Oryctolagus cuniculus: one gene and its partner. The protein of the gene in region 1 purifies or fractionates together with the protein of each later gene. This does not show direct contact. Links are inferred from orthologs where the notes say so. Each region holds a gene or a part of one and is shown in the gene's direction. Other genes may lie near its edges.

Region 1 (3,744 bases):
ATGGAACCGCGGCCCACCCCTCTCCCAGGGCGACCCCCTCTCCTCCCAGACCCCGATCGGCCAGTCCCTGACGCCCATCCACTTCCCAACCCCCGAGCCCGGGGAAGCGCGAGCAGCCTTTGTGGGCGCACGGCCGCCCACCGCCGCGCCCTGCGCGCAGAAGGGGCGGGCAGGGTGGGGTGCGCGTGCGGAGGCGGAGAGGCCGCGGTCGCGGCAGGGCACGAAGGCAGGCGCCCAGGCTGCAGGGGCGAGGGGCGAGCTGGCGCCCGAGCGCCCGCACCCACTTACCTCCCCGCACACACCCACCTGGTCGTAGATGTTCTGTAGGGCTTCCTTGCCCGAGGCCCGCCGTATCTCCACCTTCCTGCCGGATTCAACAGATGGCTCCCCGCCGGCGCGCCGGCCCTGCCGCGAGTACGGCGTCTGAGGGTCCGGGCCCAAGTGGGCGACGTCCCGCTGCTGGGCCACCACCTGCCCCGAGCCCCGGCCCACCGACAGCGAATCGAAGTCGATGGTCTTGTTCTCCGAGGACCCTTCCACCGGGCAGAACATGCCACAGAATTTCTGCCGCGGCTTGGGGCTGCCCGAGCCCAGATTTTTAAAAAAGGCAGGGACCTCTTCGTCCTCTGCCGCCTTCCCGGACTGCTTCCTCTCGGCCATGGCGCGGGGCTGGGGAGGGTCCCGTCCGTGCGTGCGTGCGCTGGTCCTTCAGGCTCCCTCTCCGCGTGCACAGACCGCGCTGCCGCTCTCTGCCCACCGCAAGGTGCACAGAAAGGAAGGCGGGCTGGCGAGCGGGCGACCCACCCTCCCGGCCCCGCCCCCTGACCCCGCTCTCTCCCCTCCCTGCCCACGCCCCCCGCGCAAGCTAGCGGCAAAGTTGAGTCTGGGAGGGCCGCCGCTGCGGCAGCCGGAGCCGAGACGCGGCCGGTTCCCGGCAACGTGGGGCGGGGCGGGGCGCGCGCGGGACCCGGGCGGGGGGGGGGGGGGAGGGCGGCGCCTCGCGGAGCCCCGCGCTCCGGAAGTGAAGCGGCCAGACCCCCGGCTAATGGATGCGGAGCGCAGGGCGCGCTCGCCGCTCTCGGCGCCACCGTAAGTAGCAGGCCGAGCACGCGCGGAGAGGACCCATGGGCGCAGCCCCGGCGCCCCGCTCCCCCGCCACATTGCGGAGTGGGTCGGGGGCGAGGCCGCAGAACTCTCCCCCCCGCCCCGCTCCGTTTTACCCGGGTGGGAGCTGGTGGAGGGGGAAGGGGCGACCAGCTTATTTAGGCACCGGGATTGTCACAGGGAAGGCGTGGCGGAGAGGGTGGCAGTAGGAGTGGGAAAGGTGTGGCGCAGGCGGCGCCGACCGCACCGGGGGACCCCCCAGGCTCGCCGACGCTAGTACTGCCGTGCACCGACGCCGAGGGGGGCGGCAGGAAGCAGAGACCCGCGAGAAGGTTCTCGCAGGTTGCACGTGGTGGAGGGTGCGGAGGCGCAACAAGGCCGGGAGTAAAGCGCAGGGGCGTTGCAAAGTGGAAGACGGGGTAGCGTAGCGAGACGCAGGTGGACGGTTTGTGTGAGCGTAGGCAAGACTGCAGCCTGCACGTGCCAGCCCAGCGGAATCTGCAGAGAGAGGTTGCAGAGTCGCTGTATTGCCTGAGGGCCGCCATGCCGCCTCTGCGCCAAGATTTGGTATCTTCCATCTCCCCCGCCAAAAAAAAAAAAAAAAAAAGGTGGGGGAGAAGCGGGGTGAGGGCCACTCCCTAAGCCTTCAGCCTGCTCCCGCATCCGGGCACTGTGTCTGTGCCCCCTCCCCTCGCCCCTGTTGGCGCAGTGCGCCAGAGCGGCGGGCGGAGGAGGTGCCTCGATCTGTGCGGCGCCCCGCGGAGACCAGGTGCGGACCGCGGCGCCGGCGGCGCGGCTCTCCGGGGCGCATGGCGATTCGTGTGGATGAGGCTGGCCCTGCCATGCTCGTCTCCACGGCCTTCCCCCGTTTCAGCCCCTCCTTTAGCAGTGTGCTGAGGGAGGTCGGCGCTGAGAGAGGCAGCAGACCACGGGCCCGGTGACCGAAGACTCAGCCCGCACCCCCAGAAGGATGAAATTAAACCACGCTTCCCCACAGGGCGAGGCCCGGTCGGTCGGCTGAATAAAGTTTGGAGGAGAACCAGTCAGTCTGTGGGGACGGCGTCTCCGCCAAGTGGGAGGGGCCGAGGAGCCAGGCAGGCATTTTGAATCCCCGCACCAGATGTGCTTTGCATTTGAATAAAGCGCTTCTCTCTGAGTTACATCATTTCCTACTCACCGCAGTCCTGGGAGAGGACGGGTTTTATCACCAGGGCTTTCCAGGTTAGGAAACTGAAATTCAGGGAGATTGGAGGCATGCTGCCCAAATCTAGTGAAATGACCCAGTAATAACAGTGTGGGGGGGGGGTCTTCCGGCTCCAACTGCGGGTGTGGTTCCCTGAAATGTGAAAAAACTCAAGAGTCGGACATTTTTTCCACATCCAGGGGTTTCCATCTGGGGCCCTATTCCACGTTAAATGCATTGCCCTCGCCATCTTTCTAATTGAGGGGCAAGGAGGGATGGCACTTGAGAGAGTGGTCCCAAGGTGACAGCTACGTGGGTCTTAGAGGTGTTGCTTTCTGAGCGTTCAAAGCCTTTCCTCCAAGGGGCAGGAAGGCCAGCCCCATGGTGTAGAAGGGAGAAGTTCATCATGGAAGAGCCAGGAGTCTCCAGCCCCCGGAGCTGCTCAGCGCAGACTTCCCTGGCACCTTCCAGATGGACGCGGTATGTCTGCCGCTGGTATAGCTGCAGGTGACTTCTGTGGCATCTGGACGGCTGATGGAAGTTTTCAGGCCAAAGAGGAAATGATCTTAGCTCCCTGACACACCCTCCCCAGTGCTGATGATCGCAGTCCACAAGCAACAGTGGTGGTCTCCCCAAGAGTGTATCATCATGACCATCCTGGTTTGTGTCAGTCACTCAGTGGTGTTCACCCAAGGTCCAGATCACAGTGCCTTTCTCTGAACAAATCTTCACCACTAAGCCGCACGTGACTGAGGGCATTAGGAACTCTTGCCTCCCCAAGTTCAACGCTGGGAAGAAAGTGTTGTGTTAATAACTTACTCTTATCAGCCCTAAAGGTGTTCATATCTGGCTAAAAAGCCTATGAGAGTATCTCAGGCATGGAAAGCCAAGACACTGTGGCAAAAAATGACCTAAGTAAAAGATCTCTGTGAGTGAGATCCCAGCGGAAAGAATGGGCCGTCAAAGAAGGAGGTACCTTTCCCTGAAGGGAGGAGAGAACTTCCACTTTGATTATGGCCTTGTCTAAATAAGATCAGAGTTGGCGAACTTAAGAGGCTTCCATAGCCTTGGCAGCTCCTGATGACAAGAGCCTTGGGTGACTACTGACGTCATAAATAAGAGTGTCAATTGTTAACAACAGGAGTCACTGTGCACTTACTCCCCATGTAGGACCTCTATCTTTAATGTGTTGTACTATGCGAATTAACAGTAAAACTAGTCTTCAAACAGTACTTTACACTTTGTGTGTCTGTGTGGGTGCAAACTGTTGAAATCTTTACTTAGGATAGAGTTGATCTTCGGTATATAAAGATAATTAAAAATTAAAAATGAATCTTCATGAAGAATGGGGTGGGAGAGGGAGAAGGAAATGGGATGGTTTGCGGGTGGGAAGCTGGGTGTGGTGGGAAGAATCACTATCATATAAAAGTTGTACTTTTGAAATTTATATTTATTAA
Region 2 (3,744 bases), on another chromosome or scaffold:
ACTGGTGGGGGCCGGGGGCCCTGCCGGCCTCCCCCTGGCCGCCCAGCTGCCTCCTGTGGCCTTCGCGTGCATCGACGAGGCTCACTGCCTGTCCCAGTGGTCCCACAACTTCCGGCCCTGCTACCTGCGCGTCTGCAAGGTGAGCCGCGGACGGGTCTGGGTGGGTGAGCGGACCAGGGCCCACCTGGGCTCAGTGACCCACCTCTGGCACAGGTGCTTCGGGAACGCATGGGCGTGCGCTGTTTCCTGGGCCTCACAGCCACCGCCACACGGAGCACTGCCCGTGACGTGGCCCAGCACCTGGGCGTGGCTGAGGAGCTGGGCCTCGGCGGGCCGGTTGCCATCCCCCCGAATCTGCATCTCTCCGTGTCCATGGACAGGGACCCCGAGCAGGTGGGTGTGCACAGCCCAGGGGCCCCGGGGCCCCTGCAGGCGGCCGCTCTGACACTGCCCCTCGGCAGGCTGTGGTGACGCTACTGCAGGGCGAGCGCTTCCGGGCGCTGGATTCCATCATCGTGTACTGCATCCGGCGCGAGGACACGGAGCGGATCGCCGCGCTCCTGCGAACCTGCCTGCGTGGGGCTCCGGGCCTGGGGCCCGCAGGTGAGGCAGGCAGGGCTGGGGCCCCTGAGGACTCCGCCTGGGCACCCATGCCTTCGTGCCAGCGGCTGCCTGTCTGCCTTCTCCAGAGGCCGTGGCCCAAGCCTACCACGCCGGCATGCTGAGCCAGGAGCGGCGGCGCGTGCAGCGGGCGTTCATGCAGGGCCAGCTGCGCGTGGTGGTGGCCACGGTGGCCTTCGGGATGGGGCTGGACCGGCCGGATGTGCGGGCCGTGCTGCACCTGGGGCTGCCCCCGAGCGTCGAGAGCTACGTGCAGGCCGTGGGCCGGGCTGGGCGTGACGGGCAGCCTGCCCACTGCCACCTCTTCCTGCAGCCCCAGGTTGGTCCCCCTCCTGGCCGCGGGGGTGTCCGCCACCCTGGCCGCTCCTCACGACTGTCCCCTGCAGGGTGAAGACCTCCGGGAGCTGCGCAGACACGTGCACGCTGACGGCACGGACTTCCTGGCCGTGAAGAAGCTGGTGCAGTGGGCGTTTGCGCCCTGCACCTGCTCCCAGCTGCTCCCAGCCCAGGAGGGAGGTGTGGGCGGCGAGAGGCCCGCGGCAGGCCCCCCCTCCCAGGAGGCCCAGCGGCACCACGGCCAGCAGGCAGCCCCCGCGTCCGGCAGGAGAGCCTGCTCTGGTCACGAGCGGCTGCTCCCAGCACAGCAGACAGTGCAGGCACTGGACATGCCGGAGGAGGGTGAGGGACCCGGAGGAGGGCCTGGGGTGTGAGGAGGGCCCCATCCTGTGTGCCCTGAGCCCTGCTCTGGCCCTAGCCATAGAGACTCTGCTGTGTTACCTGGAGCTGCACCCTCGGCACTGGCTGGAGCTGCTGCCCGCCGCCCACACCCGCTGCCATCTGCGCTGCCCTGGGGGCCCCGCTCAGCTCCAGGCCCTTGCCCATAGGTGAGCACCCCCCCCCCAGGCTGGGGACGGGGACAGAGGAAGGGGCTGCTGGTCTGATGTGTGCTCCCACCCCCCACCCCGGGCACAGGTGTCCCCCTCTGGCTGCACACTTCGCCCAGTGGTCACCTGAGGACCCCAGGCACAGCCGCAGTTCTGTGGAGTTGGACATGCTGGAGCTGGTGGACGCGAGCGGCTGGGAGCTGGCCTCTGTGCAGCGGGCTCTCCGCCAGCTGCAGTGGGACCCAGAGTCCAGGAGAGGTGAGCCCAGCCCCCCCAGCCCAGCCCAGCCCAGGCCCTGCTGCCTGCCAGCTTGGGACGCTGCGCTTTTGGCAGGTGCACCCAGGGGCACAGGTGTGCTGGTGGAGTTCAAGGAGCCGGCCTTCCACCTGCGGAGCCCCGGCGACCTGAGGGCGGAGGACTTGGACCAGATCTGCGACTTCCTGTATGGCTGTGTGCAGGCCCGTGAGCGCAAGGCCCTGGCTCGCCTGTGCCAGACCTTCCAGGCCTTTCGCAGGTGGGAGAGAGTGGCCAGAGCTGGGGACGGGCCAGCTGTGCAGCCCGGTTCTGACAGGCTTGTCTCTGCAGCGTGGCCTTCCCCAGCTGCGGGCCCTGCCTGGAGCAGGTGGACGAGGAGCGCAGCGCCCGGCTCAAGGCCCTGCTCGGCCGCTACTTTGAGGAAGAAGGGGGAGAGGCCGAGGAGCTGGGACTTGAGGACCAGCAGGCACCGGAGCTGGGGCAGGCCAGAGTGAGTCCAGATTGGGTGAGCCTGGCTCCAGGTTCCCCAGGCCACCCAGGGCCTTGGCTGTGTGAGCCACGGTGCCAGGGGGCCTGGGGAGACTGACGTGCCCGCCCGCCCGCAGCTGCAGGACTGGGAGGAGCAGATCCGCCGCGACATCCGCCTGCTCCTGTCCCTGCGGCCCGAGGAGAGGTTCTCGGGCAGGACCCTGGCCCGCATCTTCCACGGCATCGGTGAGGGCGCAGGGCCAGCCTAGGGCCGGGGGCTGGGGCGGAGGCGGCCCCCAGCTCAGCTCCGCACGCTCCTCCCTTGCAGGAAGCCCCTGCTACCCCGCCCAGGTGTACGGGCAGGACCAGCGCTTCTGGAGGAAGTATCTGCACCTGGACTTCCACGGGCTGGTGCGCCTGGCCACAGAGGAGCTCCTGCCGCCGTGCCGCTGACTGCCGGGGGGGGGGGGGGGCACAGCACACAGCATGGACAAGCACGGGGGCGGGTGGACAGGCAGGCTGCAAAGTGCAGAATAAAAGGCACCCAACACGTCCAGACACAGCACTCGGGCCACGGCACGCCCTGCTTTATTGGCTCAGGCCAGCGTGCTGGGGGCCAGGCCAAGGTCCAGCAGGGGCAGGGCCGACAGTGCGAGCAGCAGAGAGAAGCAGAGCCGCAGGCCCAGGCCGTCGGCCAGGGCTCCAGACAGGGCCCCCAGCAGCAGCTTCCCGAGCAGCTCCAGCGTGGCCAGGAGGCTGTAGTGCGTGGCCTGTGGTGGGGGCGGGGTCAGAGCCTGCACAGCTGCCCAGCCAGCGGCCCCGGGCGCCCCCACCTCACGCCCTCACCTGCAGGGCCCTGGGCGCCCGCTGACTGCAGCGCATCATCACGGTGAAGGTGACGGTGGTGACCAGGCCCCCCAGGAAGTGCTGCAGGCACAGACTCAGCAAGGCTGCACCTGGGGGGGGGGGACTGGTCACAGGGCCCAGGCTCCCAGCCCTCCCTCCCCGAGGCCAGCCCCTTACCTCTCAGGACGGAGGCAGGGCCCACGCTGGCATCTGGGGAGTCCAAGTGGAAGAGCAGGACGGTCTGGCAGGCCAGGCCCCCGAGGCGGAGCCGCAGCAGTGACCTCAGCAGGGGCAGCGGCCGCCTGGGACGGGGCGGGGGTGGGGACATGGAGCCACTGGGGGGTGGGGAGCAGGTGGCGGGGGTGGGGGGGCTGTCCAGGGCGCTCACCAGTGTCTGGCTAGCAGGGCCCCGGCCAGGGCAGAGCCAGCGATGGAGCAGGCCACGGCGCCCACGCCGTTCCAGAGCCCCAGCTCGGGGGCGGAGGCGCCGCGGTCCAGCAGGAGGAGGGGCAGCAGGCTGCCGGCGCCCTGCTCGCCTGCGGGAGACCCTGAGCTGCAGCAGCCCACACCCCACAGGGAGCCGTGCTGCCGCCTGACTTGAGGCTTCACTCACCCAGCTTGTAGGTGGACACAAAACCTGCCGTCCACATGGTCCCAGGCACAGCCAGCA

The links. The genes of interacting proteins can lie anywhere in the genome.
Region 2: the proteins of PNMA2 (region 1) and RECQL4 purify together in Homo sapiens (affinity purification with mass spectrometry; 3 studies listed by BioGRID and IntAct, with this or other methods). This does not show direct contact. The link is inferred for Oryctolagus cuniculus from reciprocal best matches to the Homo sapiens genes PNMA2 and RECQL4.

Annotation. Positions count from the first base shown.
Region 1 is NC_091433.1:47,729,513-47,733,256, forward strand, and holds the start of PNMA2 (paraneoplastic antigen Ma2), read left to right. Parts: upstream 1-991; 5' UTR 992-1,089; intron 1,090-3,744. Other genes in the region: DPYSL2 (dihydropyrimidinase-related protein 2), read right to left, coding at 307-660.
Region 2 is NC_091437.1:168,206,577-168,210,320, reverse strand, and holds the end of RECQL4 (ATP-dependent DNA helicase Q4), read left to right. Parts: coding exon 1-139; intron 140-213; coding exon 214-393; intron 394-461; coding exon 462-603; intron 604-689; coding exon 690-940; intron 941-1,007; coding exon 1,008-1,299; intron 1,300-1,375; coding exon 1,376-1,505; intron 1,506-1,593; coding exon 1,594-1,763; intron 1,764-1,838; coding exon 1,839-2,019; intron 2,020-2,090; coding exon 2,091-2,250; intron 2,251-2,365; coding exon 2,366-2,474; intron 2,475-2,556; coding exon 2,557-2,681; 3' UTR 2,682-2,824; coding exon of another isoform or gene 2,825-2,998; 3' UTR 2,999-3,074; coding exon of another isoform or gene 3,075-3,184; 3' UTR 3,185-3,186; downstream 3,187-3,744. Other genes in the region: MFSD3 (major facilitator superfamily domain-containing protein 3), read right to left, coding at 2,825-2,998, 3,075-3,184, 3,252-3,376, 3,463-3,610, 3,688-3,744. UniProt on the Homo sapiens protein: An ATP-dependent DNA helicase which unwinds dsDNA with a 3'-overhang in a 3'-5' direction. Does not unwind more than 18 bp of dsDNA. May modulate chromosome segregation. The N-terminal domain (residues 1-54) binds DNA Y-shaped DNA better than ss- or dsDNA.